Linked DNA regions of Bombyx mori. The protein of the gene in region 1 purifies or fractionates together with the protein of each later gene. This does not show direct contact. Links are inferred from orthologs where the notes say so. Each region holds a gene or a part of one and is shown on either strand. Other genes may lie near its edges.

Region 1 (8,051 bases):
TTAACTTTGGGCCGTATGCTCGTAATAAAAATTACTACGATAAAAAACAACGATGAACGAAGCGAGCACTATGAATATAATTTATTTCCAAATATAAAATTAACAGATCATTGTTAAAGGCGCAACACACAATTATAATAACAATCAATGAAATTTGATAAAAAATAATACATTCTGAAAGATCACTTAATATAATTTCTGAGGTATAACCGTTACCGCATATTTAGTAGTATCACATAGTGCAACCTCATTTATACACCTAATTAACCAATTTTTCGTAACATGCCTTACGCCTTGACGCAATTCTTCTTTTAACCTTTGCATTTCCTTGTATGTAATACAATTGTTATTATGTACGACAAAATCAACGTTCGCAGATCGCATCGATTTCACAAGAACACCTCCGTACGCAATCCAATGCCTAACAAAATGTTTTCTTTCGTCCTCCGAAAAAGATATTAAGTCGGGATATAAACTTAATATTTTATCTTTGAACGCGTCCGGCAAAGGGTTGTCGGGGTATAATTTATTTCCACTAACTGTTGTTTTGTCTTTTCTCTTTACTTTTGCAGGCGTCTCATTTAACTCTGCAATAGTTTCTTGAGAACTGTCTAAATCTCTTTTCTTTCTTTTCATTTCTCTTTTGACATCCGTTTCAGTCTCCTCCGACTTCTTTGTTTCTTCGGTGTTCTTTTTCTTATTCTTATTCGTTTCCTCATAAGATTCAGAGAGGGTTCCTTCCGAAATATTTAAATGTCTTTTCCTTCTTTTGATTTCCCTTTTAGAATCAGTCTCATCGTAACTCAAATCCGAATTAGAACCATTCAGTTTATTTTTGTTCGACGCTTTTGTTTCTAACTTTACTAGGGGACTATCTGGAGATTTCTTTGAAGGACTCTGTTTTGGTTCTTTCTTTAAGAAATTGTCCAATTTATTTTGTTTCTTCGGACTAGCCTTCGTTTTTTTGTTCGTTGTTTCAATACCAGAAGCTGAAGCAGCCAATTTGTTTAATAATGAGACGTCACTGGTTTCTTTCGAAGTTTTGTATAAATGTTTCAGTTCATCCAAGTTCGTGGCGGACTGCCAGTCTTTGTCTGTTCGAATCCTTGTGACTCTTGGGAACCTCACTGATATCCCATCGGCTGTGTGTTGGTTTGCTTTTGTTAACTCGGTACCTGAAACCACACAACTTATGATTACAAAGCAAAAAAAAATTTTTTTGGCAGTTCAGTTTTAAGGACCCTAATATTTTCTTATAATAAAATCTTAACCACATACTAAAACTCCATAAAGGTCAGCATACAATTAGTACTTGAAATATAATATTGAAATTTAAATAATCACATTGTCAGTGGCTGAAACTTAAGTAAGGTGACCAACTATTTTATGTTCAAAAAGAGTAACACTTTGCAAGCATTTCATCGGTGAAAAAAAAAAGAAGAAAAAAACAATAAAAACTTTATTTATTTTTAAAAACCTATTTTTAAATCAAATTCAAATCACTGTCAAAATAAAATTTTAAGTATTTAATTAATAAAATTGAAATAAAAAAAATAAAAAATAATAATTTAGAAATACAAATGAGAGGTATAAAATTATACAAATGAGTACTTTTAGAGTACAGGATTTGAAAAGAGAACGGTTTGCGAAAAAAGAGTACAAAACTCAGTAAATTAGTATAGTTTGGTCACCTTATTAAGGCCAGCTTCGTGCACGGACATGTAATGCTCTATTTACAGTTTCTATTAATAACTCCTATCTATAAAGCGTTAACGGCATTCATGGATACTCACGGTTAGATAAGGCTGTTATTATATCGAAGGGTGAAAGCCTATTTGTTTTAAACGACATTTTCGCAACTTTACAGAAAGTATTTAATGCTTAATATTTGGTAAAAATATCATAACAAAAAAACTATTAAACTTCTTCAGCTATTAGAATGAGGTAAACTAATTTGAAGCTGAATTAAAATCATCGAATTGTTGATACTAATATCAAATAAAACGGACCCTTAATTACAGAGATAAATGTAGCTTAAACTAAATAAGCTTTCACCCCTCAATATGTATTTTGTTTATGGCAAAAGGCCCCAACTAATCAATAGTTACCATAAACAAAAAACAAATACACTAACCTGTAATTTCCCAAACTGGTTGCTTCTTAGGATCTAAAGCGACGAAATCCGGCACCATACCCTTTTTACAGTCTAACCATGACGGGACTTTATTACTGTCTTGAGAAATCTTCAACATTAAAGGTCCTAACTCCTTTTGAAGTCTCTCGAGCGTGCTATCATCATGTCCCGTATGCACTTTGGTTACAGTTACCCACTTATTTTTGTACTTATCCAAACAGCCCATCAAGAATACTGACATCATTCCGCCTTTCTTACCTGTACCTGAAAAATTCAATAACAATATATAATAATATATAAAAATTCAATGGGGTCTTATATAATTTTACAAGAAATAAAAAAATACAGCCCGAAAAATACATGTTTCCTGAATATCTCAAATATACCTAATGGATATATCAAAATATTTTATCTTTTAAAATACATCCATATTTTTTTTATTTCTTAGATGGGTAAACGAGCTTACAGCCCACCTGGTGATAAGTGGTCACCGGAGCCCATAGAAGCCCAGCTTGAGACAGAAGTTCTAAGTCTTATTTTTCAGTAAAGCACCTGAAACCGAAACGAAATGCCACTACACGGCAGATTTGGCTAAAGAAAGTAACATTCAAAAATTATGTTTATTATTCACACAAAAATGAGTTAGCAGTGTTGTTTGACTAAATTTAGATGTTAGTTAGATGCTATCTTATAAAAATTGATAGTTAATGGCAAGAGGTTAATTATGAAAAACTGTATGTTTACCAAACCAAGCTCCAAGTACAACAAGATCTGCAGTGTCAGCCATTGCTCCATCAAAGAGATAATCTTTCTTCACTTTCAACCAATGACGTTTTCCCGGCTCATATATAGATTCACGGTCTTTTAGTACCAGTCCTTCCAGACCCAGTTGTAGAACCTGGAATAATTAAAAGACAGTTTCTGGCAAATGATGTCTTGACATAACGTTTCTTTTTTACTACAGAAATTATATATGTTATTGTGTTTTGAAAAGATATCTGGAAGAATATTAATAAAAGTAAATTGTATGAAATGTGAATTATTATTGTGCAAAATTAAAATACAAAAAGGAATTTTCTAGATATACGAGTGAATTAGCTCATTGCTCACCTGGTGCTAAATGGCCAACACAGCCTACACACCTCGAGACATGACTTTCAAGTCTTAAGTTTTTACAGTACAATGGTTGCCCCACCCTTCATATCAAAATACTGCTTCACGACAGAAATAGGCAAAGTGGTGAGACCTAACCAAGGCTCACCAGACTCTTGTGTCAGTAAAAATTGTGTTTTAAACAATTTGCAATGGATTTTTATTTTAGAGGATTTTTATTTTATTTACCTCAGCAATCATCTTAGCTAAATCTGATGGCTTCTCAATAAACTGTAATTCAGATAACATGACATGATTTTTTACTTCAATCATATTTTCCTCAAGAAACTTCTTTCTTTTCCAAATTGGCTCATTCATCAATACTTCTCCATTATAATAGAGACAATCAAATATAAACAAACATACTTCCGCATCTTTAAATTCAGATTGTTTGTGTACGCCCAATGTACCAAATGGTAAGGGCTTCCCAGTACACACATCCACCATCAAAACTTCAGCATCTAATATCATATCTTCTCCTTTAGGAAAAGCTTTAGGCAAATGTTCCTTAAATAAGCTTACTTTATGTGCCATCACAGGTTTTAATGCTCTAGAAAAGTATTTAAATTCTGTACCTTTTTTATGTATCTGAACTCTCTCCCCATCATATTTAATTTCAGAGTACATACCGTTTGGACATTTTTTCATCGCCATTTCAATTGATTTGCATGCTTCAGCTAACATAGGCAAAACTGGAGTCATTAATGTCAGTTTTGCTGAAACAGCTTTGTGGCTCACACCCTTGTCATTTGAACTATTATTCTTTGACAAAACCCGATCAAGAACCATATTAAGGTCTCTTGACGTCTGAAAAACATTATATGAATCGGGATGCACTCCTTCCAAGATATGCTTTGGTCCAGCATTAATTCTTAGATCTCCTTTTATTAACCGTATCAACATTTTCATATCATCTAATGTACATTTTTTCACAATTTTTTTGAAGTGGTAAATTTGTTCTTCTTCTTTTGTTAATGTAGATAAGTTTTCTAGGAAATCTTCTATGTTGTGGATCGTAAGTGAACTAAAGGAAGCAGGTTGCACTACCTTTGATGTTGAGAAAAATCTCTGTATCGTATTTGCCACATCTCCCTGTTCTAGATCCGTTAACATATCATCGTGATCAATATTGAATATTTTTGAGAAGAGCTTAACTAATTGTTTGCTCTTTAAATTATAAACTCTTTTGGTTACTTGAGGTAATAGTAATTTACACCACAAACCAAGATCTCCTTTAAAATTATCTTTCTCTATTCCTTTCGTAAAAAAAGAATTAACAGCAGCAGTCTTTTCAGTATATGCATCGACTTTTGCAATTCTTTTACATAATTCAATAAAAGTACTAAATTTATTATCTTCTACAATGTTACCACTATCAGTAGTGTCTGGCTCACTTTTAACACTATTTTTCTTTATGGAGCCTAAAGATTTGTTTTCAATTAGTTTCGCTGTGTATTTCCCACTGTGTTTTTCTGCGTACAATTTTTCAGTTTCGTTTAATTTTTTTAGTATCAATTCTTGATCTTCCTTACTAATATTGTCCCAGTTACCAATGTCGTTGATGGATTCAACTCGTTTAGTATTAGGGCGTTGCTTTAACAATACGTCAGTAAAACAATGAACATGATACCAAGATTTCATGGATTGATTATCGCCATACGGGCTCGGTACAAGTTTGGCCATACGTAGTTCACCACTAGGACAGTTGCCTTTACATAATTTACATGCTGCCCTACCACCTTTGGCTCGATCTACGTAAAACGGTGTTGAATCGGACATTGCGATTATGAATGCCAATGAGGCAATGACACACTTAAAAATATATGTTGAATACTCAAAACATCTGATACGAGACCTGTTGTGACAGGTTTTGAAGCATTTTTTTCAAGAAGCACTGTTTAATATTAAATAACTTTTATTCTCTATCTCCTTATATTTAACCACTTTACATAACTTGCGCGAAGTACGGATTTTTTTATAAAAATAACATAAATTACGGCCTGAAGTGTGCAATAACAACTTTAATTTTAAAAACAGTTTTCCTCGTGTTTTCTAGTTTTCAATACACACACATCAAAATTCAAAACATAATATAAAGACAACTGACATTGTCACATTATTGACATTTGACGTTATAGTCAGCACAGCCACGCATGCGCGTCTCGTGGAACATTCGGATACAGATTCTTGGCAATCTTTAATTTTGCAACATTAGACTATTAATACGTAAACTCTAGTATTCACGAATAATTGTTATGAGATATTTGTCTTTGATGATATACACTTGACTATGATCATATAGGAAAAACTATAGTTATTTTTTATCAATTTTGTAATTATAATAATAATATTTGTTTATGTTTCAGCATCATCCTGCCACCAAGAATTCAACAGTGATACGACGAAGCATGGAACACTGACTTCTCCTCATTATCCCACTCCATATCCACCGAACACACATTGTCATTACGAATTCTTCGGGAGAGGAAAAGAAAGAATAAGATTAATTTTCCTGGACTTTTTTCTATATAAAACAGCTGATGGCACTTTGGAGTAAGTAAAAGTTATATTTTCAAAATATTACTCAACTTTTGACGAAGTTTGTTTTAATATTCAATAAGCTAAAGATTATTAGTAAAATGCTATCAACAAAATAAATCTTCACATTTCTGGAAATCTATGAAAATAATCGTAATATTAAATAAATAACTATTAATTTGACTGTCCTTTGTCTAATGGGTATGCCGCTCTGTAAGTATATGTCGTGTAATATACAAGTATACAAGTCCGGCCTCGCGTGGAGTACTGCTCCCATCTCTGGGCCGGGGCTCCCAATACCAGCTTCTTCCATTTGACTCCATACAGAGGAGGGCCGTTCGGATTGTCGATAATCCCATTCTCTCGGATCGTTTGGAGCCTCTGGGTCTGCGGAGGGACTTCGGTTCCCTCTGTATTTTGTACCGTATGTTCCATGGGGAGTGCTCTGAGGAATTGTTCGAGATGATACCAGCATCTCGTTTTTACCATCGCACCGCCCGCCACCGGAGTAGAGTTCATCCATACTACCTGGAGCCACTGCGGTCATCCACAGTGCGTTTCCAGAGATCTTTTTTGCCACGTACCATCCGGCTATGCAATGAGCTCCCCTCCACGGTGTTTCCCGAGCGCTATGACATGTCCTTCTTCAAACGAGGCTTATGGAGAGTATTAAGCGGTAGGCAGCGGCTTGGCTCTGCCCCTGGCATTGCTGAAGTCCATGGGCGACGGTAACCACTCACCATCAGGTGGGCCGTATGCCCGTCTGCCTACAAAGGCATTAAAAAAAAAAAAAATTTTTTTTATTGCCGCTTAGATTTGTGGACGGTACATTTATTTTTAATAAGGTAACTTTATAAATAAATTAGTACACCTCTTCTTCACACTAACTGTCAATAGTGCCCGGGGTTCCGGTTACTACTTAACAACAAGTGAACGGTGAACTGATTTATATCTCTGTATCGAAAATAAGATGATATACGTGGATTACATTAATTTTCCAATTGTGAACGTTGGGTTCTTTTTTTTTTTAATAAACGGTAACCCAAAGCATTAAAGGTGCGACATAATTCGACTCCATTGGACTCTATCGATACAGTGGACTGTTCACCTTGAGTATCTATACCAACAACATTAAAACAATTACAATACCTAGAATATTTAACAGCATAATAAAATAATTTATGGGGAAGTTACAAATAACATTTATTATTTTTTACATAATATTATTTTTTCACATTTCAGCTGTACGAATACGGACTCGCTACAAGCGTTCATTAATGTGGACGGAAGATTGGAAAAAGTACAGACGTTTTGCGGAATCGATCTCCCAAAGCCTATCATGTCTAACGGTCCAAAACTGATGTTAGAGTTTCGGGGCACGCAATCGTCTAGATACGTTAGAGGATTTAAAATTGCTTATTCTTTTGTTGAAAGTGAGTATTGATAATTGTAATGTAGGTACCTATTTGATTAGGTATCAAGATAAATTCGTCAATAGTTGCCACTGATTAGCAGCCCACTTAAACGCAATTGATTACCCTACAATTAACAACATCATAGTGCCATCAATTAATTTGTGAATGTTTGTGAATTCACAATAAGTTTTGTACGCATTAGAACTCTCTCAAGAGTTAGAAAAACAATTTTAAGTATTGTATATCGAACATGACCTAAAATGTTCAATTTTATTATTCGGCAGCGATTGCAATAGTATATATTATAAAATCTTCTACATTACAGATTTTGGAATTTCATCTGGGAGGCAACTCAAAGAGTTTCCCTGCGCCTTCGTATATAACAGTACAGAAAATCGTAACGGTACCTTCGCATCCCCTAATTCACCAGGACCATATCCTCGTGATACAGAATGTACATATTTTTTCCACGGCGGTGAGACCGAGAAAGTGCATCTACATTTCACCAATTTCGATGTAGAAGGAGTTTTGCCGTAAGACGTTGTTTATTATTTGCTAATTTATTGTAATTAATTCTCAATAGTTTTTTCATTTAAAATCTTCATAATTTCAGCTGTGAAGCTGTATCGGCAAGTGATTACGTCGAATTTTCTAATTACATGACTGAAGACAATAGATACGGCAGATATTGTGGTCAAATGAAAGAATTCCATGTTGAATCCGAAAGGAATTTCTTCAAAGTAACTTTTCGTTCCAATGATAGATTGGATGGAGCTGGATTCAAAGCCATTTATCAGTTTCTAGAAGCAACT
Region 2 (7,996 bases), on another chromosome or scaffold:
CAGTTTTAACTATAAATAAAACTAATTTCTGTATTCATTGTACCAGGATCGCATAACACCGTAGGAGGTCACTCACCTTGGAATGTTATAGAGAACGGCTGCGAATGAGTTTCCTTTGCCGCCGTGATTGTTGTGTAAAAAATATAAAAGGGCGCACTGGCTTCGTGCTTTGCAGCCATTCGCCCTTTAGGTCTTACAACGTTCAAATAATCTTCTACACGTCGAGTCGGAGGTATTATGGGACGATAATCTGAGTCTGAAAATAGAATTACAGTTTGAAAAAAAAAAAATTATACAAGAGAGGGCTTTTTGGCGGGAACGCGAGAAGTGAAGTTGTGTGATTTGTTTAATTTTGTCTATTTAGTGTTTCTTCAGATTTAAATGTGTAATAACGGTGATTTATTATCTGTTTAATAACTGTGAAAGTGCACAAATGTGGGAAAATGAAACAAAGCCGCTGAACGTAACTTCTCTGGATCCTCCAAAGAGTCCATTGAAAAAGTCTCAGTAAATGACCACCATTTTACTGAGATTATATTTCATCCCATATCATCTCATCTCATTTCATAATATCATTTTTCATATAAAAAATATATAAAAGATTAAGCTGTATGGTATGATACCTTTGCCTTTCCAATTGGAAAAATAAAACTACTACTATTTATAGAAGGGAGAATTTTGGGGGAAGAGCGATAATTCAGTGTATTTATCAAACAACACTAGTAAATTCCCCCCATATCACTAGGACTTCCATCTCGTCTAGTTTCATTTCACTTAATTTCATCTCAATTTATTACAGTTTCAAATGATTCAACTTCATTTCATTAGCTCAATTATTCACGTAATAGATAGAAACTGGCAACAATAACAGCATAACAAAAAAATTGCCATATTGAAAAAAACCTAAAGATTTACTAGGCTGCACTAAAAGTATCGGGAATGGAATATTTCCCCTGTTCCTGTCATATTAAAATCTTTTTAATTGAAAACTCCTTGGTTTTAAAAATCGAATACCATTTATTTATTTAAAAAAAGATTCTCGGTCTTGTCACGAGGTTTTGTCAAACTTGTTTAGTCGTTGAGAAAATGAAATTGACTCGAGAAAATTCAAGAGCGATGATTTATTATGAATTTCGAAGTGGTTTAACACAAAAACAGTGTGTTGACCGGATGATTTCTGCATTTGGTGATGAAGCCCCATCCAAAACCACAATTTATCGCTGGTTTGCTGAGTTTCAACGTGGACGTGTCAAGCTCAGTGATGATCCCCGTCAAGGTCATCCAAAAACTGCAGTCACCCAAGAAAACGTTGATGCTGTGCGTAAGCTGATTGAGGAAGATCGACATGTGACATACCGCGAAATTCAGGCAACTTTAGACATTGGCGTGAGTCAAATACAAATAATCTTGCATGAAAAATTAGGTGTAAAAAAGTTGTTTTCCCCATGGATACCGCATTCGCTCTGTGAAGAGCAAAAACCGGCTCGCGTTACTTGGTGCGTCAGAACTCTCGAAAGATTCCACGCAGGATCCTCAAATGCTGTATACAACATTGTATCAGGTGACGAATCCTGGATATACGCGTACGAACCCGAAACAAAAAACCAGTCACGAGTTTGGGTGTTCGAAAATGAGTTAAAGCCAACAAAAATTGTTTGTTCACGGAGTGTTGCAAAAAAAATGGTGGCCACGTTTGTCTCCAAAACCGGCCATGTTACGACTATTCCTCTTGAGGGACAAAGAACGGTTAATGCAGAATGGTATGCTAGCATTTGTTTGCCACAGGTCGTTTCTGAACTCCGTAAAGAGAACTGCAACCGCCGCATCATCCTCCATCACGACAATGCGAGTTCTCACACCGCGCACAGAACAAAAGAGTTTTTAGAGCAAGAAAACAGAATAGAAAACAGATAAAGAATAAATTGCGTGGACAGAGATTTTCATCACCTGAAGAAGCTGTGGACGCCTACAAAACGGCCATTTTGGAGACCCCAACTTCCGAATGGAATGGTTGCTTCAATGATTGGTTCCATCGTATGGAAAAATGTGTCAAATTTCGCGGAGAATACTTCGAAAAGCAATAAATACATTTTTAAATAGTAATGTTGTGTCACTTCGTTAGTTCCCGAAATTTTCAGTGCCGCCCTCGTACTTCTTGAGGCCAATTTATATAGTGTAGGTTTACACTGTACACACCTTTTTAGAATTCAGAGTGATAGAACAATTTAAAGAGAATTTAAAAGAGAACCTATTTTTCTATACGTACTTAGCAAATGTTCACGATTGACTTCCGCGGTGAAGGAATAACATCGTGTAGTAAAAATCAAACCCGCAAAATTATAATTTGCGTAATTACTGGTGGTAGGACCTCTTGTGAGTCCGCACTGATAGGTAACACCCCCTGCCTATTTCTGCCGTGAAGCAGTAATGCGTTTCGGTTTGAAGGGTGGGGCAAACGTTGTAACCATACTGTGACTTTAGAACTTATATCTCAAGGTGGGTGGCACATTTACGTTGTAGATGTCTATGGGCTCCAGTAATCACTTAACAGGTGGGCTGTGAGCTCGTCCAACTATCTAAGCAAAAAAAATTGAAAAATAAATAAATTCAACAGCTTTTATAACTACGGTTAAAGTATCTTCAAAAAATTATCTGATTAAATAAAACTCACTAGTGGATTTCTCTTTAACAACTCCCCCTCTATCAACAGGTGTCTTAATTTTGGCTTCATTATTTGAAAACATTGTTTTTGTATTTTCAGGTTTGTCCGGTACTTTTTGATGACTAGCAGAACTTGCCTCCGGTTCCACATTTTTCCCTACTCGTCTGTCGCTGTCTCTTTCTTGTTTGTTTTCAATTTGTTTTGGGCTATAATGATTAAACTTTTTTTAAAACCTACCTAAGGGTTACTGATGGTCTTGGGAGACCATTTCAGCGTAACCAGGAGAGTAGGTGAGCTCGCGGGGCTCAAACCGGACGACGTTGCTAATACGAACCCTAGCAGTGCTTCACAGAATCTACCACCGGTTCGGAAACGCGACCCATTGAACAGATCCGGCGAGAAACTCAGTGGGCTGTGTCTGTGGGTTAGTTTACTCGCTGAGCCCTTCGTCGCAAACGACGGGTTCGACGAGAACGATTACCCGGTGCTTGAGGTACCTAAAAGCACCGTTAGTGGATCGGGAGGATCCGTAATGAGGCGTTTTGGGCGACGTCGACTGTTTACCATTCAGTCCGCAGGATCGGGAATGTAGTTACCGGCGGCCACGATGTGACGGTTCTCGTATCGTGCCGATTTCGCGAAATGACGATTATACAATAACTTGTCTTTACAGTACTGCTATTTATTTAACTAAGATGTGTAAAAGTTAACAGTTATAACTCCAATGCTTATAAACAATTGTTTAATAGGGTATTCAGGAGAATTCGGGAAATAGCTACATCCACTGTTCTACTATGAGTACGAGTTACTATTATTGCACAAAACTGAGCTGACCTCTTTATTGGCACCAGTCGCGCCGTCATAATATATAATACAGTGAATACTTAATAATTCAAGTAATTTTTTTTATATTTCTTAATATTTATATGTATTAAGTTAGAGGGTACATATTCAGTGAACTAAGTTTGACTAAGTTGAGACCAAGAAATGAGGCTGCATCAAACAAACCCTATTCGCAACCTTCAACAGGTCATCAATCCGTCTTGTGAGAGCCTAACCCACATTACGTATTCCATTATGTGACCACCACTTCAGAACTTTAAAACAAAAACACATCTAAAGCATGCCTCAAATAACTAAAGCAATGGTGTAATTATCTAGTCTAGTCCTCAGACTATTAAAATTTAAATGAAGACTTAGTTTTACACTAGGCATGAAAAACTTTAGTAATATAAATAAAATCATAAATGTGGAGAATATTTTTCAATTTACTTGTTTTGTACATTGTTCCGAGGAGCATAGAATCCCTTTTCGATTATAAGATCTAGCTGTTCAGTGATCAATTTCTTCTGGAGATTGTATTTATCTGGGATAGGGTAATCTCCACCACTGGCATGGTTATCCAATATAGATTCCACTGTGGAAAATAATGCAATTATATCAGTTGAGTGCATTGTAAATCAGTTGAATTTTTATGTTTTGTTTCTAACAGGTTTTATGGTTTAATGTGGTAATCTACAGTGGTGAAAACTGTAAATGAAATGTTGGAAATTGTAAACGAAAAATTAATGTCAACCTTAACCTTTAAGTTACAATTTAGATTTAAGTTTGTCTTTAATTTTTCGTAGTTACAATTTACAAAAGTTACAGTTTATCTATTTACAAGTAGTTACAATTATTTTGTATCATTGGGAGAGGTAGGCAGCGACTTGGCTGTGCCCCTGGCAATGATCTATGATCAACGGTGACCACTTACCATCAAGTGGGCAGTATGCTCAGCTATCTACAAAGACAATAAAAAAAGGAGAACCGAAGATTATTATTTTGTCTTGTTAATTTGTTTTTCTGTTGTTTAACCAAAGAGTTATTGAAACACGGAAACTTTTTAACAGATTTGGCTAATTGCTTTTCCAGTTAAGACTTCAAACTCTGATAAAAGTTAAAAATACTGCAAATTTTTACTAAGGCAAGATTTTTCTGAGTTCTATTCAAAAATAAAAACTACATTTTTCACATACATCCAAGAAAATTTTTAAACTTTTTACTTACAATGCGGATGACTAAATTCACGGAAATGTACAGGATTCATTCTGTAGCATTTTTCGCCATAATCACAAACCTTTTTTACTCTTTTTGTCTCATTTTCTGAAATAGCATGACAATTTTTATTTTGTTTAACGTTGTATAAAATTTATTATTTTGTTCGTTAACTCAGATACACTTGAATTGTTACAGGTACCTTGCATAGTTCCTCGTCGCTTTAGGGAAGGGTTCATACTTAAATAAATCACTTAAAAAGTCTACCTAGCTATCATAAAATAAAGTTAGAAAGTTGTTGAATCTTTGGAAATATTTCAAAACACTATATAGTGAACTGTCTTGTTGTGTCATTTTTCCAGTAGTTCTATTTTCCAAACAAAAAGACCAAGGACTCATATTATACAGCCTAACGTTTTGAATTTTATGTTTTATGAAAAATGAAATGAAGTTGATTAATTTGAGACTTCAATTAATATGAAATTAAATGAAACAAGATGATATGGGATGAAATATAGTCTCAGTCAAAAGAATATGTAGTTTTTACTGAAACTTTTTGGAGGATGCTGACAACTGTACACTTTCACAGACACTTAACAGTTAACAAACCCCCGTTTTGAGTTTTTTAATTTTTTTTTATTGCTTCGATGGGCGGACTAGCTCACAGCCCACCCGGTGTTAAGTGGTTACTGGAGCCCATAGACATCTACAACGTAAATCGCCACCCACCTTGATATATAAGTTCTAAGGTCTCAGTATAGTTACGAGTGCCCCACACTTCAAACCGAAACGCATTACTGCTTCACGGCAGAAATAGACAGAGTGGTGGTACCTATCAGCGCGGACTCACAAGAGCTCCTACCACCAGTAAAAAAGTCTCAAGTTTCTCAAGTCATTTGTTTCAAGTTTGAAGTAGATTTAGTGAAAGCTATTAACATTAAATCCTGGAGATATTCTTCAGTCAGTCGAAAAAGAAATTTATTCTTAATGAAGTTCATCTTTGAAAATGGTGCTTCACAAATATATCGACCGGTGGAATACCTACCACCAGATGTTTAAGCCTGAAGAAACACTAAAGTGACAAAATAAAACAATTCACACAACTTTACTTGTCGGATTCCTGCCAGTCTCATTTTTTAAGATATTTGGGACAGCATCTTTTATGCCGTGTTAACCAGACCTTTAATCCAAAACATCTTGTGACAGCTGTCATCAAGTTTGGGCACAAGTAGGTAGGCATCCACACTCGTGTAGTCACGTCATTTCGGATCCTCCCGATCCACTAACGGTGCTTTTAGGTACCCCAAGCACTGGCCATCGATCTCGTCGAGCCCGTCGAGTAAATTAACCCACAGACACAGCCCAGTGAGTTTCTCGCCGGATCTTCGTAGTGGGTTGCATTTCCGATCCGGTGGCAGATTCCGGGAAGCACTGCTCTTGCTAGGGCCAGTGTTAGCAACATCGTCAGGTTTGAGAACCGTGAGCTCACCTACTAGTTAAGGTTACGCTGATATGGTCTCTCTAGAGTCTAGACCATCAGCTTAGGTAGGAAAAAACCCATGTACAGTTGTACAGAGCATCTATCATTATATCAATAAAATTTTATTACAATTGTAGTATTGATAGAGGCATAATGATAATGAAAGTTACAGTATTCAAACAATAATTTTAATAAAGCCTTTATATTTCAATAACATTTATTTACGCTAATTTTGACTGTGTAGAGCCGGCGTGGCAGCTCGCAACGAATTCTCCAAGTTCTTCAACGCTGGTGTCACGGAAGACCCTAGATCTTCAACTACGCTGGACAGGTATACTTTAGAAAAAAAAACAGTTTTTAATTTTAGAACTCCTTTGTACTATGACAGCCTGGTACTAGCGTTGTCGAAAACGGGAAAGTTTTACTGGTTTTTTTCCTTTAAATTCTATTTTTTATGATTCACAGCTGCAGTGCAAATCGCCCATGGACATCAACAATACCAAAACTCAAGTTGACAGCATCGTCCATGGACATCAACGAAAATACCAAAACTCAAATTCTTAGATCTTACAACTCATATAAGGCGGGTGACGGCATTTACGTGGTTGATTGATATCTATGGGTTCCGGTAACCACTTAACACCAGATGGGCCGTGAGCTCATCCACCCATCTAAGCAATACAAACAAAAGGAAGTTTAAAAAAGTTGTCCAAAATCACCGTTACATACAAAAATACAAATAAACCTAATTGCTTAAAAAAAAAATTTGCTCACCAATATCAGTGAGACATCTCTTCGTTCCTAACGCATCCATATTTTTTATATTCATAATCTTATCTGCATACGTTTCGCACGTGTGGTTGCACACCTAGAGAAAAGAAATAAACAAATTTAACTCTACCCAATTCATGTTATCCTGGTACTTTTTTCCCCTACCTATTCGCTGGTAGACTATAATAAGGCTATTCCAGATACGCCCAGGGTAGATGAGCTCACGGGCTCAACTTGGGAGAGCTTGCTAACACTATAACACACTGGTGGTAGGACCTCTTGTGAGTCCGCACGGGTAGGTACCACCACCCTGCCTATTTCTGCCATGAAGCAGTAATGAGTTTCGGTTTGAAGGGTGGGGCAGCCGTTGTAACTATACTGAGACCTTAGAACTTGTCTCAAGGTGGGTGGCGCATTTGCGTTGTAAATGTCTATAGGTTCCAGTAAACACTTAACACCAGGTAGACCGTGAGCTAGTCCACCAATCTAAGAAATAAAAAGCAGTAAAAAAAAACAAAATGTGTGCAATTCACACGTGGTAGAAGTGAAACCTTCCAAAATTAAAATACAATTATCCTAAACGTCTTAAGTATATGTAAAATTTTGTCATTAGTAAATAATTGTAAGGTAGCGCCCTCTGTGAATTGGTATTATAATTTCGCGTATAATCCTAAATAAAAATTCACTACAAGAGCTTTCATACACACGTTAGTATTAAAAAATCTCACAGATGGCGCTGTATTAAATAGTATGTATATTTCTGTCTCATTCTTTGCTGGCTTCATCCTACACATTTTTGTATTTGTGTCTCTTACCTGTCGTTTTTTCCGTTGCATCCGGTTTGAAATCACAACGATTCTAAAGAAGTTTTCACTTCAAAAGTTATATATCCCGCGTAATGTATGAAAAAATAAATTTGACAACGCGTGATGCCAATGACCTCGGGACATCACAGAATACACATTAATATAGACAAAATATCAAACAACAACCATTTCTATTTAGCTTGGTACATTAACCACTTTTCCTTCGAAAATTTGGGTTCG
Region 3 (7,867 bases), on another chromosome or scaffold:
TATAAAGGACAAATTATGCGACCAAATGGCAATAGAAACTGCCGAAGCGGTTCTCAGGATTCGATTTTCACTGCCAAATAGAGCCATAAATTTTGTTCCCACATCGGACATGTTAAATATCTTTAACTTCGAAAACGTGTATGCTTTAAATAATAATAACGAAAGTGAATCTGATTGTAATAATTGTTTAGAGATGGTTGAAGTTAAAGGGACAGCTTGATAAAAAAATAAAAGAATCCTTTTGGTTTTTTATTTCTTCTTTAAAATAAGTAAAGACTGTTTTGGGGGTCTTTTTCTTCAAAAAGCCTATTTTCGGGGGGTTTTCGAAAAAAGTTGGGGGGAAATTCACACAGTCATCTGGCAACACTGAACACTGGCCTTAGCAAGAGCAGTGCTTCGCAAAATCTACCACCGGATCGGAAACGCGACCCACTGAGAAGATCCGGCGAGAAACTCAGTGGGCGTTGTGTTTTTTTGAGTTAGCTAAACAGTAATGCACTCACTTGTAGGTATGGAATACAATATCGTTAACAGGAACATGATTGATCTTCATCAGTTCCCTAAATTTGTTATTATGTTGCGCATGGGCCTTAGAAGTAGCCATTTTAGCACAACGACAATCTACTTTATTTTGTTTTGCGAGTGATGTCCAACGGGAACGAGACTCAACATCCGGATTCGTACTGTCTACTATGACACTTTTTCCTTGCTGCAAAAAAAAGACATTTTCTTATTATAAAGAGGTTATATACTATACTGCCAGGGAGACTTTTTGGCGGGAACGCGAGAAGCGAAGTTATGTTAATTGTTTTATTTTGTTAATTTGGTGTGTTTATTCAGGCTTAAACGTATGTTGCTTTATTCACGGTTTAACATCTGTGAAAGTGTATAAATGTGGAAATTTGAAACAGTCGTAAAATCTGGCTTCTCGAGTTCTTCCAAAATGTTCACCAAAATCTCTGTAAATAACCACCATTTTACAGACTTTATTTCATTTCATCTCATACCGTTTCATATAATTTCATCCCAATTGATTACAATCTCAAATAAGTAAATTTGACCTCATTTCATCCAAATAATTTTTTACTACATTATTTTTTATATAACAGAATATATAAAATAATAAGCTATAATATATGGTGCGATACCTTCGTATTTCCTGTTGGAAAATAGAATTACTACTAGACTACCAATACGTCATCTGGAAATGATTTCCTAGCTTTTTTTAATACCATTACACATATTAATTAATGACAGGTGTACGGCTGACTAAAACATATTAAAAAAACACCCAATTAAGACAAAGCTAAAGATATTCCAAAATCTATAAAAATCCATAAAGCTCTTTATGGATACAGGGTGCGTGCTAAATAACAAAACATATTATAAAGAACTTTAATCATATCACACATATACTTTCGAAAAAAAAACTACCCTCATTTAAGAATATACTAAATTCTTAATTAAGAAACCTTGATAATAATGAACATAAAATATTAAAATGACTATATCATAATTATGAAATTTAATGTAGTCAATACGAATCACAACCTATTACCCGTTCAATTAGATTAAAATGTTATCTGATTGTGTCCATAAGACTTTCAATTAAAATTTCAATCAATATTGTAATATTACAATGCTATTTGTTAATTGCATTATTACTGATAATGATAAAGTGGACAGCTGGTGATAATGAACATAAAGACTGCCTGAAAATATGGTTCATTAAATTTCTCTTAAAGCCCATAGATATCAATCAAGTTAATGTCGCCTAATACCCATCTTGAGATACGAGTCGTAAATATAGCACTCCTCGCTCTTCAAATCGAAGCGCATTACTGCTTCACCGCAGAATTACGCTGGGCGAGCTCATAAAATACCCTACTACCAGTAAGTAAGCTTATTATATTTATTTGCCTTCGAACTTTGACTTACCTGCAACAATTTTGTGGCTTCAGCAGCACATTTTTGCCATGAGCCTAGAATATCTCTGCACACAGTCGCATATTTGTGATTTGATTTAGTTTCAATCTGCTTTGCCAAATAAGATTTTCCACTACCAGGAAATCCAACTAAAATTAGTATCTATAACGAAAGTTTTTTTATAACGACGTTATAACGAAATTTATTTTTATCGTTCTTTTGTTGTTGTCAACCTCACTGGCCATCAGGTGTTAAGTATTGAATGGCGCTATCTGCCGTAGGACGTGAGGTATAAGTCTCAATTGTGTTGGGTAATGGGTCTCCCCACTCTTCAAACCGGATCGCATTACTGTTATATGGCAGAAATAGACAGTATAATATACTCATGCGTGGTGGCTCACAAAATGCTCTATAAATAATAAATGTCGAAATACAGATCGCACTGTACTGGTATAATAGGTCCGAGAATGCTGCTACCCATTACTCGGTGACTAATCACCTTTTCAGAAAAATAGGAGGACAGGGGTTGTGCTGTGGGTCTGAAATAAAATTTGGGAAATAAACGTGGGCCAATCACGGCTGTACAGTCTACAAGCAAAGAACACAAGAACGCTAATTCCAAATGCTCAACTGTAGGAATTGCTGTATTGCTGTCGCAGCAGGACTTCATCAGTTTCATAAGTGCTCTCACTGTGTAACGTTTATTAATTTAACGTAAATTTCATTTGCATGAGACACTATTAAATGATACTTGATTCGCAACTAAATATATATATCTGCTTAAATTAAGGTATGCATTTTCGGTTTCTGGAACACTTGCAAAACCAATATTTTGATTAACTTTGAAATATTTCATCAATTTAAAATCTGCAGTAAAACTCAACTTAAAACTCAACCTCAAGTAAAAATAAAGTTTCAAAATGTTGAAAGAGAGTGAACCATTATTGTTGGAACTTCTAGCCAAAACTGCTAATAATGTGATTCCAACTTGAACAAAAAACAACATTTATTTGCTTAGTTAAGCATAATTATATATATATTGACTACTTTAGATTTCTTTAACCAAAGCAGCTCAAACAAAGACATTAACCTAGCGTCTCACAGTAGGTGGCAGCATTCACAATAGGATGTCTGTGAGTTCCAATAACCCTTAATATCTTTTTAGAGCAATTAATAACACCAGTATTGTATATTATTTTAGAATGTCTTTTGTTTAAAATCCAATTAAAAAAACAATTTTAAAATATATTTGAATGAAGTTTGACTAACCTCTTTATCTTTGCTAATTAGTTTATTATTAAAAGGTTCTACAGTTACTTCTTTAGGATGAAACTCAGGTTTACTCATTAGCACATTAGCAATAGAATGTCCCAAGAAGAATTGTTCGGGAGTATAAAATTTTAATTCCAAATTTTCAGCAAAGAGTTTGTCTGCCAAGGAGTGATCTTTCTTTTTACCAGGGGCCCAGTTTGCCACCCTTCCTGCAGCATCTCCACAATAAAAACTTTGGTTCATATCAACTTTGACACCATCATTTTTCTGTAAAAGAAAATAAATTAACATAAAATTCATAATATGCCTAGTTCTTTTAGGTCAGTATACTATAGGTTTATGTAGTTACCAATTCTGTCAAAATGGCTAAGCCCAAATTAAGTGAAGGCTTAAAAATATTAGAGATTTGTATTTCTTATAGCAAGACAGCTTTAATGCTTTAATTTAATCATAAATATGAGATTAAACAGACTCAAACTATACCTTTTCAGTCAAAGTCATCCACATTCCAATTCTAGGTTTCCTGTAAATCCCTTTACCAGTTGCTATATATGCTTGTACTGGCACATTTAATTTTTGGACAATACTTTCAATCTTCTTTTTAAAGTCTTCTATTTTAACTCTACCATTACCAATAGGGGCTTGATTGCTAAATAACACAATTTTGTAATCTTTTTCTAAAAATTCTTTCAGTTTTTGGGGCACTGAAGGAAATGCTATTTGCCAGTCATTTATGTCCACCGGATGAACTTTACCAGACTTTGTCTTGATTAGGGTTCCATCCATATCAAAAGATGCTATTTTGTCACTAGATTTCACTCCCTTAGCTGTAAACACATACAATTCACCTTTGTCTATTTCATCCCACATATCTCTAATAACTTTTTCAACTTTTTCTTTTACACTTGATGACACTTGTTCCACTTTTAATGATTTCTTTCTCTGAGATGTACTGTCATCTTCCAATTTCCTTTTGAATGTCTGATTCTGTGAGGTAGTTAGGCTTTCAGGAGGTGGATCAAATTCAAGTATATGCACATGATTGTTTAATAAAATCTCAATTGTTGATCCATGTCCAATTTCATACACTTCATCTTTTTTAAGAGCAAAACCATCTAACCCAGAAGCGTTTACCCCTAGTTGTTTTATCTCTACATGACATTTTTCACAATCTGCTTTTAAGCTTACTGTAAATGAAGAATAACAAGCATTTAGAAGAAGTAGAACACAATTATGGTAGGTATCAACTTAAGATTTTGATTTATCAACGCGAAATTATGTAGGATAAATAAAAATTTAAAGTATGTAAATTAATCTAAGCAAATAATTTTAAAAAATATGCAATGATTTGACGTAAAAGAAAATTATTCAAGATATTGCAATAAAGCTTGTTCAGCAAAGTATGCATTGGCACAATAAATAGGGTTTCTCAATTGAAGTTATCACTTACGCTGCTGTCTAGAACATGACTGATCCTTAATTTTTGTTTCTTTATTGCGCCCTACAATTATTTGTACGTTGTGAGGAAGTTTAATAGGCGCATGTGTATCTAACAAACATCTCAAAAAGCATAAACGAGACATGATAATAGTACGTACAGCATGAATAATGCGTTTAACATAGTTTTTATGAATTTAACTTTTGTATGGCATATTTAACAAACATGGTTATTTTTTTTAATTGGTACTTAACACGGTTTAATATTATAATATATAACAAGATAGGTTCAAAGGCTCGCAGATTTATTTAAGTACATTTAGGTATAGATTTTTTGAAAAATTAGAAATTAAATTAGGTGTATTATCTATGACAAATGACATAAAGTGACAGGACTTGTTGGCGGGAACGCGAGGAGTGAAGTTGTGTGATTTGTTTTATTTTGTCTATTTAGTGTTTCTTCAGGTTTAATATGTAATAGAGGTGGTTTTTTTAACTGTTTAGTATCTGTGAAAGTGCACAAATATGAGAAAATGAAACAAAGCCGCTGAACGTAGCTTCTCGGGATCCTCCAAAAAGTCCACTGAAACAGTCTCAGTAAATGACCACCATTTTACTGAGATTATATTTCATCCCATATCATCTCATCTCATTTCATTTCATGCCATGTTTCATATTAATCAACTTCATTTCATTTCATAATATCATTTTTCATGTAAAAAAGTTTTTATTAAAATTAAAATAAGATTTGACCTAAAGGTCTTAGTTACCAGGTCACAAAATCCCTTAAAAAAAATTAAGTGACAGTAAGTGACTCTTGTTTATAGAGATGGGTCAGATTTACAAGAACAGACCCAAGTATTAGGTATTTTACGAGATTAGGCTGCACCTAATCCCATTTTGCCAATATGTATAATCTACCTTTTCCACCTAACCTTCGTATTCTTAAAATCCTAATAACGTACTGAGAACTTGAGATTAGGAACAGGCAGATTGAGATTGCTTGCTTAGTAAAGTATTGGTTGTGAATGATATTAGGAAGATTTTATGGATTAGGTATTTCTTAAAATTAGGAGCTTGTGGTAAATCAAATACTAGTATCTGATTCACCTAGTATAACTCATCTCTAGCTGCTTAGGATAAGACGACGGAGGCTCGCTGAATTTGGCCCCACGTTTTTTCATTTCCGGATTTTTTTATTTTTTATTATTTATTGCTTAGATGGATGGACGAGCTTACAGCCCACCTGGTCTTTAGTGGTTACTGGAGCCCATAGACATCTACAACGTAAATGCGCCACCCACCTTGAGGTATAAATTCTAAAGTCTCAGTTTAATTACAACGGCTGCCCCACCATTCAAGCCGAAACACATTACTGCTGCACGGCAGAAATAGGCGGGGTGGTGGTACCGTGTGGGCTCACAAGAGGTCGTACCACCAGATTAGATGATAATAATAAGGCTTAATAAAGTGGAAACAACTTCGGGTAGAATTTCTGTATTGGCTACGTTCTCTTTGCATGTTTAATGGACGAATCACACAAACAAAAAATTACAATGCCACAGATCACTAAGAGATGTCAGTTTCCAAAAAAGAAACATGGTCATAGATAATACACTAGTTAATACGCGAAACCTACCTGTAATACTATGTTTCATTCATCAAATCAATTTCAATTTTCATATTAGGTACGTATGTGCTACTATGTACGTGGTAATCGTGCAGATTATTAATATTAAATAAATAGTTATTTTTTTATTAAAACTGTACTAAAAATTTTAAATGGTGAATGAAATAATTGATTTAGTCAGTTTTTAAGAAAAAAAAATTATTTTCAGTGTGGTCTTGATTCAAAACAGCAAACATTAAGGTTTGGAATGAGTAAATTCTACTGACGTGTTTTTTCAACATTGGCACTTTAGAACATTTGTGATGTATTTTAGGCTATAAGAGCAGCAATTATGACTTTAACAAAGCGCAAAAATTCACCGGAAAATGAGGAATTGATTGAAAACGGAGACGCGCCGAACGAAGGAAGAAGTAACATTAAAGGGGATGAACTAAACATAGCTGTTTTGTTGTTCCTATACACATTACAGGGTATACCACTGGGATTAGCTGGAGCTGTCCCAATGCTTTTACAAAATAAAGGCATAACGTACACGCAACAAGTCAGTATTCTAAAGAATTTTTTTTTATAATAAAAAGGTAATATTTTGCATTTCAACTATATCCGTTTTAAAATTTCAGGCTGAATTTAGTTTAGTAAATTGGCCCTTTAGTGTAAAACTATTATGGGCTCCTATAGTGGATGCAATGTTTTGGCCTGAATTTGGAAGAAGAAAAACTTGGCTTGTACCCGTCCAGTACTTGATTGGAATAGTAATGATTATAGTATCATATTGTGTCACAGATTGGCTGGGAATTGATGGGGAACCACCTTCAATGACAATACTTACAGTATCTTTTCTGTTATTAAATTTTTTAGCGGCCACACAAGATATTGCTGTTGATGGCTGGGCTTTGACTATGTTGAAAAGGTATGACAATCGCTTAATTATAAATATTATAAAAAGATGAAATTGACAGATTTGGAATTTGAATGTAAGATTTGATTAAGAATTGTAATTCTTTTTATGAATTAATTTTCAGGTGTAATGTTGGACATGCCTCGACATGTAATACAGTAGGCCAAACAGCTGGGTTTTTTTTGGGATATGTAATGTTTCTGGCTCTCGAGTCTCCATATTTCTGCAACAAATATTTACGAACAGAACCACAGGAGACTGGACTAGTGACTCTGTCAAGTTTTCTACTATTTTGGGGTTGGATTTTCATTATAACGACTACATTCATAGCTATATTTAAACATGAAGCTAATGATACCAGTGCAAGTGGTCAGGTGAAGGGAGGAAATGATATTGTTAGTGCTTACAAACAGTTGTATACAATTGTGAAATTACCAGCAGTGCGTAAATTAGCTTTGGTTCTGTTCACTGCTAAGGTGAGAAATATTTTAATTAATTAAATGAAATCCAAAGTGATTTAAGACACTATCCATTTAATTCATGTAAAATATGTAATATAACTTAATTGTTTTATAAGAAACATTTTATTATTGAATAACTTCAAATGGATAGATTCACTAAATCAATAGATATGATTTTACTTATTTGTGTATTTTAGCATATTCTTGTTTCAGCTTGGTTTTTGTGCGGCAGATGCAGTATCA
Region 4 (7,932 bases), on another chromosome or scaffold:
TCTTTAAGCTTGCAGTAGTTCATCCGATCGATAAGGGTACGGGGGACCGACGTCTGCCGAACAATTACAGACCTATTTCTATTCTGCCAACAGTGCCAACCCTCTCAAAAATTCTGGAAAAAATTATGAACCATAGACTTATAAAATTCTTAGACAAATACAACCTTCTCTCCCCCTCTCAATATGGTTTCCGCTCTGGTATATCGACTAGCGATGCAGTTTTAAACTTAACTAATGAAATTGTCACAAAACTATATAAAAAGAACAAAGTAATTGTTATATTCTTGGACTTAGCTAAAGCCTTCGACACGATTTCTATCCCAACTCTCATAACTAAGCTTGAAGCCGTTGGGTTAAGAGGCAGTCAGCTTTCACTTTTCAGGAGCTACCTTACGGGCAGACGTCAATGTGTCAAAATCAGTGACCTTATCAGTGACGAACTCCCTATAGCATATGGAGTGCCACAGGGCACTATTCTCGGCCCTACCCTATTTTTAATATATATAAATGACCTATGTCAACTAAATATCACAAACGGGTCTATTTACACCTATGCTGACGATACTGCTCTCGTATTTCATGGCAGTTCTTGGGAGGCAGCTTTTAGTTTTGCTCAATGTGGCCTGAACACCGTAACTGACTGGCTGTCTAAAAATCTACTGACACTGAACGTGGATAAAACTAAGTACGTCACTTTTTCCCTGTCTACGCGTGGTAAAATATCATCTTCGCCTTTTTCACTTATAGCCCACTCCTGTAACGCTCTTGGACAAACTGCCTGCGGTTGCCCCTCCCTTGCCAGGACAAATTGCATTAGGTATCTGGGTATACAGATCGATGACCTATTATCCTTTCATTCCCATATTGACGTTCTGTCGTCCAGATTACGCAAACTCACTTACATTTTTAAAAATCTGCGTCATGTTACCGACAGGAACGTACTTACACTCGTTTATTTAGCGCTCTGTCAATCAGTCACTCAGTACTGCATAGTGGCATGGGGCGGGTCTTCCAAAACACACTTTTAAAAACTTGAACGTGCCCAGAGATGTATTTTAAAAGCTGGATGGCGGCTCCCTTATAGGTTTCCTACAAATGATCTTTACAAAACCTGTAAAGTCCTTTCTGTCCGTAAATTATTTATTCTTAATCTTATTATGACTACACACTCGAAAACTCCATACGATCCGACATTGCTCGTAAGTCAGCGGCGCGGGCATGGTGTGCGTCCCACGACACTTGTTTCTACATCGTTAGCTCAACGCTTCTATGGCTTCCTAAGTAGCTTCATATAAAATAAAATCAATAAGCTGATCAATATGATCAGCATGACACAGACCCAATGCAAACATGCACTAACAAATTGGCTTCACGACCTAGACTACGAGCAAACAGAGAACTTACTCCAGACTGTGAAGTAATCTGCTTTTTGTTTTCGAGCCCAATTAAGCAAAAAATTATTTATACCTATGTAATAGTAATAATAAACACGCATAGATGCAGATACTCACACATACACAATACAACATGCATGCGCGCACACGCCCACATATACACACACTCACACACATCCAAATACACACACATTCACACACGCACACACACGTAAAATGACCTTCTTAAAATATAACACCTAATGATCTCTCAACACTAGTCCGCAGCATCTGTTCACGACTTAACCTAACCTAATCTATCTTAAGAAGGAGGGAGCCTGGAGATCAGTAATACAGGTCTTTGAACCTAGTACAGACTTCAGCTCTTTCAAAGGCTTACAAAATAAATTATAAGGTTAATTTATTTCCATTTGAATTTGTATGTACCTTGTACCTTTAAGAGAGAAATAAATAAATTATTATTATTATTAAATGTGTAATAGCGGTGGTTTGTTAACTGCTTAATATCTGTGAAAGTGCACAATTGTGGGAAAATGAAACAAAGCCGCTGAACCTAACTTCTCGGGATCTTCTAAAAAGTCGACTGAAAAAGTCTCAGTAAATGACTACCATTTTACTGAGATTATAAGTCATCCCATATCATCTCGTCTCATTTCATTTTATTTCATCCCAGTTGATTAATGTCTCAAATTAATCATTTTCATATCATTTCACTTCATGTTATCATTTTTCATAAAATTAAGAAATATATATTTATTTATTTATTTATTGCTTAGATGGGTGGACGAGCTCACAGCCCACCTGGTGTTAAGTGGTTACTGGAGCCCATAAACATCCACAACGTAAATACGCCACTCACCTTGAGATATAAGTTCTAAGGTCTCAGTATAGTTACTATATTAAAATAAGACATGACTTAAAGGTCATAGTTACCGGTTCATAGAATCCCTTAAAAAAAATTAGGTAATTACAGGTTGACTTTTTGGCGGGAACGCGAGGAGTGAAGTTGTGTGATTTGTTTTATTTTGTCTATTTAGTGTTTCTTCAGGTTTAAATATGTAATAACGGTGGTCTATTGATTGTTTAATATCTGTGAAAGTGCACAAATGTGGGAAAATGAAACAAAGCCGCTGGACGTAACTTCTCGGGATCCTCCAAAAAGTCCACTGAAAAAATCACAGCAAATAACCACCATTTTACTGAGATTATATTTCATCCCATATCATATCATCTGATTTCATTTCATTTCATATTATCATTTTTCACTCAAAAAAAGTTTTCATTAAAATTAAAATAAGACTTGACCTAAAAGCCTTAGTTACCAGGTCATAAAATCCTTTAAAAAATATCTATGAAAACAAATCTGTGGTTGCAAAAGCCGAAAATAACGTCATTTTATGTGAATTTGTTTGTTTTATCGTTGTACACTGTATGTAGCAAAAATAAAACCTAATATCTACTTTCATAAAAAGAACATTAGAAGTAATACATAACAGAATTGCAAAAAAATGGCAGACTTGCCATATCAAGTTGAATACGCAAAGACAGGTAGAGCAGCCTGTAAGGGTTGTAAACAAAAAATTGATCAAGGCTCACTGCGCATTGCTGTGATGGTACAGGTTTGTATAATGTGTAAAATTTAGAACTATGTATATATTTTCTTAACTAAGCCGATAAAGGTAAGCACGCCATCCTGCCTATTTCCGCCGCGATGTAGTCTTGAGCACAGACTAAGTTACCTACTAGTTTACTGACATTGAGAACCAGTTTGAAAGTGAAACAGCCGTTGTATTTTCTTGTTGCTTTTATCGGTAATTACTCATCTGATGATGATTAATTACCGTTGCTCATGGACGACAATAAATGTTAGGACCTAGCCAAGTTGCTGTTTAGCGTTGAGTACCCTTTGCAAATCTTTTAAAGCCCAGAGATTGGAGCAACAGTCCATTTGAGGCCAAACTTGTGCTTTGTAAAGTACCTATAATTTTTTCTTCAGACGTGAAGTACTGCACTGCTCTGTTGGAGACTCCCAACACTTTAAACTCCAACTAGCCTTTGCCCTCCAAATGACTTACTCAACACTGCCTACAATGCTAAGAATAAGAAAATTAAACTTCTCAGAAAGTTCCAGAGATTCTGCTTGCAATTAAAATTAAATATATATAGTAAGGAATACCCTACTAAAAAGGTATAAAACCGGCGTGCAGCTCTGTCACCCGCGCATTTGTCGGTTGACATTAGTCGAGAGAACATCGGTCAAAGACTTTAAGTGTTAATTTAGGAAACACGAATTTTATAATAATGTTGAGGGTACAGTGCCTATAAATAGCAACGCCTTTGCTCGAAACATTAATTCGATCGGCGGCGTTCGTGAGAGAAGGTAGTCGTGGACATGGTGTGAGTGAGTCATTGTTTTAAGTCTCTGTAAACGTGTGCTAATTGTTATTTTTTTAAATGGTTTTTCTTCTGAATCCTAAATATATATATACAATGGGCATCTGGTGTAGTGGTAAGTGACATGGTCACTACACAAGAGGGTCGCGGGTTCGAATTCCACCAAGGGAAGATATTTGTATGATAAATATAAAATGTCTTTTCCAGGGTTATGAATGTATATTATATATATGTAAGTGTATTGGAGTGATGTAGGCAAAATAAAAGAGAATTGTTCAAGTCGACAATTAGTGTAATACTGTTATAATTTAGTGTGTGCAGTTACAAATATAAGGTTAGGTGAGCTGCACACTACATAAGTGTATAATAAAAATCTTATTTTTATTTCCGTTATCTGATACCTGTAACACAAGGTCTTTACAAACTTAGCACGGGACCAGTTAACGTACCGAGGACGTCTCACCTTCCGAGCGACGCAGGTGCTCACGGGACACGGCTGTTTCGGTCGCTACCTGCACCTCGTTGCCCGGAGGGAGCCGACGCCGAAGTGCCACCATTGCAGTGGCTGCAACGAAGACACGGCGGAGCACACGCTCGCGTACTGCCCCGCTTTCGCGGAGCAGCGCCGTGTCCTCGTTGCAAAAATAGGACCGGACTTGTCGCTTCCGACCGTCGTGGCTGCGATGCTCGGCAGCGATGAGTCCTGGCAGGCGATGCTCGACTTCTGAGAGTCCACCATCTCGCAGAAGGAGGTGGCGGAACGGGAGAGGGAGAACTCTTCGGCGCCGTGCCGCCGCCGTCGAGCCGGGGGTCGGAGGAGGGCGTTTGTCCAGCTCCGGCCCCTATGAGGAGGCAGTCTCCTCCCGGTGATGGTCACGGGGCGACCTAAGGGGGTTGAGACTGCGCCGCACGCTACCGTCACTCTAGCGCGCTGGCACCAGGAGTACGGGACGACGCGTCGGCGGCGCGGTCCGCATTTTCGTCGTCGCTGTCGTCGCCGAACATACTGTGGAAGAGCAACCCGGTCGGCGGTGTATCGCGTTCCGACCCGGCAGGCTGGTTCTGGCCCAGCGGGGTATCCCGGAACACCAGTGGCATTGCCCGGGCGGCCTAGTAGGGCCGCCGTACCGCGGAGACTGACGTCGTTGGTCGTCGACTATCGCCTCGACGACCCGTCGGTCGGGCGTCCTCGGGGTGGCGCCGCGTGTCTGGTTGTAGTGTTGACCGCGGAAACCCCCCTACTCTGACCGGGCTTTGACCCCGGACGGAGATCGGACGCCGGGTGTAAGAGTGCAGGGGAGTCGTTTAGTGGGTGGGCCCTAAATTCCTTGGGCCCGCGGTCTGCTCTCAACACCTGCAGATCGTTGAGTCTCACATACCCCGCGCGCCCCCTAGGCGCGGGGACCTCGTAGGAGGTTCGGCCCTCGGTCAGAAAAAAAAAAAAAAAAAAGTGACCAGTTAACGTGGCGTGATCGTTAGTAAATACATATATATATTTATTTATTTATATGACTCAACTCTGAAAGATTTTTTTTATTGCCCTTGTAGGCAGGCGAGCATACGGCCCGCCTGATGGTGAGTGGTTACCGTCGCCCATGGACTTTAGCAATGCCAGGGGCAGAGCCAAGCCGCTGCCTACCGCTTAATACTCTCCACAAGCCTCGTTTCAAGAAGGACATGTCATAGCGCTCGGGAAACACCGTGGAGGGGAGCTCATTCCATAGCCGGATGGTACATGGCAAAAAAGATCTCTGGAAACGAACTGTGGATGACCGCAGTGGCTCCAGGTAGTATGGATGAACTCTACTCCGGTGGCGGGCGGTGCGATGGTAAAAACGAGATGCCGGTATCATCTCGAACAATTCCTCAGAGCACTCCCCATGGAACATACGGTACAAAATACAGAGGGAACCGAAGTCCCTCCGCAGACCCAGAGGTTCCCAATTTACCTCATGTTCCAATGGTGGTGGTGAGATGTATTAGTACTGTTATGTGTATGAACTACATTCATCATATTCGCTCATAAATGCAAAAAGGAAGGATGAAGTGGCATGGATATTTTGTGAAGTCTAAGCCTATATTTGCTAGTCTCTTAAAATATTTCAGGTTCCCATGTACCATTTTTAATGAAACAACGAATTCTGCCATAAGTGTCTGTACCTATAACTATTAACTTTGCAGCAAAAAAACCTAAATAAAACTACTAACTAATTACGGCTATTTTCCATTTTAATAGTAAAACTACATCAATAAGTCATCCATTTGTTTCCTAGGTTGAAGACAGGGTTTGGGTTTCACAGCTGGAGCTCACAGCCCATGGGGTGTTAAGTGGTTACTGGAGCCCATAGACATCTACAACGTAAATGCGCCACCCACCTTGAGATATAAGTTCTACAACGGCTGCCTCACCCTTCAAACCGAAACGCATTACTGCTTCACGGCAGAAATAGACGGGGTGGTAGTACCTACCCGCGCAGAAACACAAGTGGTCCTACCACCAGTAATTACGCAAATTATAATTTTACGGGTTTGTTTTTTATTACACGATGTTATTTTTTCATCGTGGAAGTCAATCGTGAACATTTGCTGACTACGTATTTCATTAGAAAAAAATGTACCCGCCTGGGATTCAAACACCGGTGCATTGCTTCAACACGAATGCACCGGACGTCTTATCCTTTAGGCACAACGACTTCATTCTTTAGTTTATGTAGATTTTTTAATTATAACCACAACCAAAGATTTGTATATAACCACATAATATTTCTAAAACTCCGCAGTCAGCTTTCTTTGATGGAAAACAACCAAACTGGCATCATGAAGATTGTTTTTTTAAAAAGCGACGTTTAAACAGTTTCACTGAAATTGCAAACTTCAATGTACTTAAAAATGAAGACCAGAAAAGAATAAAAACTACTATAGGTTAGTAAAATTTAAAATGTACAGTCATTAAGTGTTCAAAATATGTGCTAAAAACATGTTTCAGAAAACTGACAAAGTGAACATCTTTCACCATGCATGATTTTTTATTTGATAGATAACCAATAAATTTTGTTGTTTACTACTTGTGTAAATATATAAATTAAAATGGAAACCCGTTTTATAAATGTCAGTAGTGCAATTAAAATTTTTGCTGAGTTTTTTTTTCTATAATAGTTAACACTACACATGCAACAGAATTAATCAGCTCCTGCCTGTATTAACACTACTAGTTCCAATTACTTTCAATTGAGCAGAAAACAGTGCTGGTGCTGTTGTAATGCCCATTCAAGAAACCAAAACCAAAGGCAAAGGTAAACGTAACAAGAGAGCCGCCCCAGAATCAGATAACTCTGCGCTGAAGGACTTCAAAGTTGAATATTCAAAAAGCAGTAGGGCCACGTGTCCTGAATGTGAAATTAAAATTTGTAAGGTAAGTTGGTTTTCAGCTAAAAGATTTAATTTAACATCAGTAAAAATAAAATAATTTTAGTTGGATGCTATGTAAGTCTCTTCAAAATCACCGTCCTAAACTTAGAGATTACATACACTTATATAACCCGGTTATCATCCCGCCGATTCGCGTACTATAATGTGGTGAGACATACAGGTTGATGTAACAGGAGAGGTTGATGTAAAAATAAATTTAACTTTGCTCTCAAAAAACATCTCTCTTACATTTGTCGATGTCTAACTTGCAAATGTAAATATGACTATGTACTTCACAAAGTCTTTCTTTATTTTTTAGATGTTTTTTGATATAGATAAAGATTTTCCCTTTGCTAAAAAATTTACCTCATATCAAATTTCGTGAGCCGATTAAAAAAAACCTTCATTTCCAGGATGAAATTAGAATATGTAAGATTTTATATGATACAGAAGTTGGTATGAAATATGGTGGACAACCAAGATGGCACCACTTGCCTTGTTTCGTTAAATGCAGAAATGAACTTCTGTACTTCGCTGGAGGAGAGAATCTACCAGGATTTGATGATCTTAAGAAAGCAGATCAGATAATTGTGAAAACGGAGATAAAGTATGTTAATTAATAATATTCTCATTATTTTCATGAATTTTAAATCATAATTATTAAATTATGTGTTAAACAAATTTAGCTGTTAACACAATATATATTGTTATTCAAAATGTAAATTAGCCAGAGTAT

Evidence for each region.
Region 2: the proteins of DNA ligase 3 (region 1) and probable tyrosyl-DNA phosphodiesterase purify together in Homo sapiens (affinity purification with mass spectrometry; 4 studies listed by BioGRID and IntAct, with this or other methods). This does not show direct contact. The link is inferred for Bombyx mori from reciprocal best matches to the Homo sapiens genes LIG3 and TDP1.
Region 3: the proteins of DNA ligase 3 (region 1) and uncharacterized protein F21D5.5 purify together in Homo sapiens (co-immunoprecipitation; 5 studies listed by BioGRID and IntAct, with this or other methods). This does not show direct contact. The link is inferred for Bombyx mori from reciprocal best matches to the Homo sapiens genes LIG3 and PNKP.
Region 4: the proteins of DNA ligase 3 (region 1) and poly [ADP-ribose] polymerase purify together in Homo sapiens (affinity purification with mass spectrometry; 3 studies listed by BioGRID and IntAct, with this or other methods). This does not show direct contact. The link is inferred for Bombyx mori from reciprocal best matches to the Homo sapiens genes LIG3 and PARP1.

Annotation. Positions count from the first base shown.
Region 1 is NC_085112.1:10,797,790-10,805,840, forward strand, and holds DNA ligase 3, read right to left. Parts: upstream 5,400-8,051; 5' UTR 5,066-5,399; coding exon 3,476-5,065; intron 3,033-3,475; coding exon 2,879-3,032; intron 2,399-2,878; coding exon 2,135-2,398; intron 1,176-2,134; coding exon 187-1,175; 3' UTR 56-186; downstream 1-55. Other genes in the region: suppressor of lurcher protein 1, read left to right, coding at 5,653-5,839, 7,067-7,257, 7,565-7,772, 7,853-8,051. UniProt on the Homo sapiens protein: Isoform 3 functions as a heterodimer with DNA-repair protein XRCC1 in the nucleus and can correct defective DNA strand-break repair and sister chromatid exchange following treatment with ionizing radiation and alkylating agents.
Region 2 is NC_085130.1:17,778,724-17,786,719, reverse strand, and holds the start of probable tyrosyl-DNA phosphodiesterase, read right to left. Parts: upstream 5,063-7,996; 5' UTR 4,939-5,062; coding exon 4,902-4,938; intron 4,808-4,901; coding exon 4,712-4,807; intron 4,080-4,711; coding exon 3,935-4,079; intron 2,869-3,934; coding exon 2,672-2,868; intron 257-2,671; coding exon 77-256; intron 1-76. Other genes in the region: conserved oligomeric Golgi complex subunit 7, read right to left, coding at 6,406-6,515, 6,954-7,047. UniProt on the Homo sapiens protein: DNA repair enzyme that can remove a variety of covalent adducts from DNA through hydrolysis of a 3'-phosphodiester bond, giving rise to DNA with a free 3' phosphate.
Region 3 is NC_085114.1:7,137,642-7,145,508, forward strand, and holds the start of uncharacterized protein F21D5.5, read right to left. Parts: upstream 5,060-7,867; 5' UTR 4,782-5,059; coding exon 4,649-4,781; intron 4,386-4,648; coding exon 3,682-4,385; intron 3,466-3,681; coding exon 3,196-3,465; intron 2,089-3,195; coding exon 1,939-2,088; intron 710-1,938; coding exon 504-709; intron 1-503. Other genes in the region: acetyl-coenzyme A transporter 1, read left to right, coding at 6,597-6,806, 6,886-7,175, 7,288-7,639, 7,838-7,867. UniProt on the Homo sapiens protein: Plays a key role in the repair of DNA damage, functioning as part of both the non-homologous end-joining (NHEJ) and base excision repair (BER) pathways.
Region 4 is NC_085128.1:12,941,513-12,949,444, forward strand, and holds the start of poly [ADP-ribose] polymerase, read left to right. Parts: upstream 1-2,724; 5' UTR 2,725-2,902; coding exon 2,903-3,013; intron 3,014-6,568; coding exon 6,569-6,710; intron 6,711-7,024; coding exon 7,025-7,200; intron 7,201-7,609; coding exon 7,610-7,803; intron 7,804-7,932. UniProt on the Homo sapiens protein: Poly-ADP-ribosyltransferase that mediates poly-ADP-ribosylation of proteins and plays a key role in DNA repair.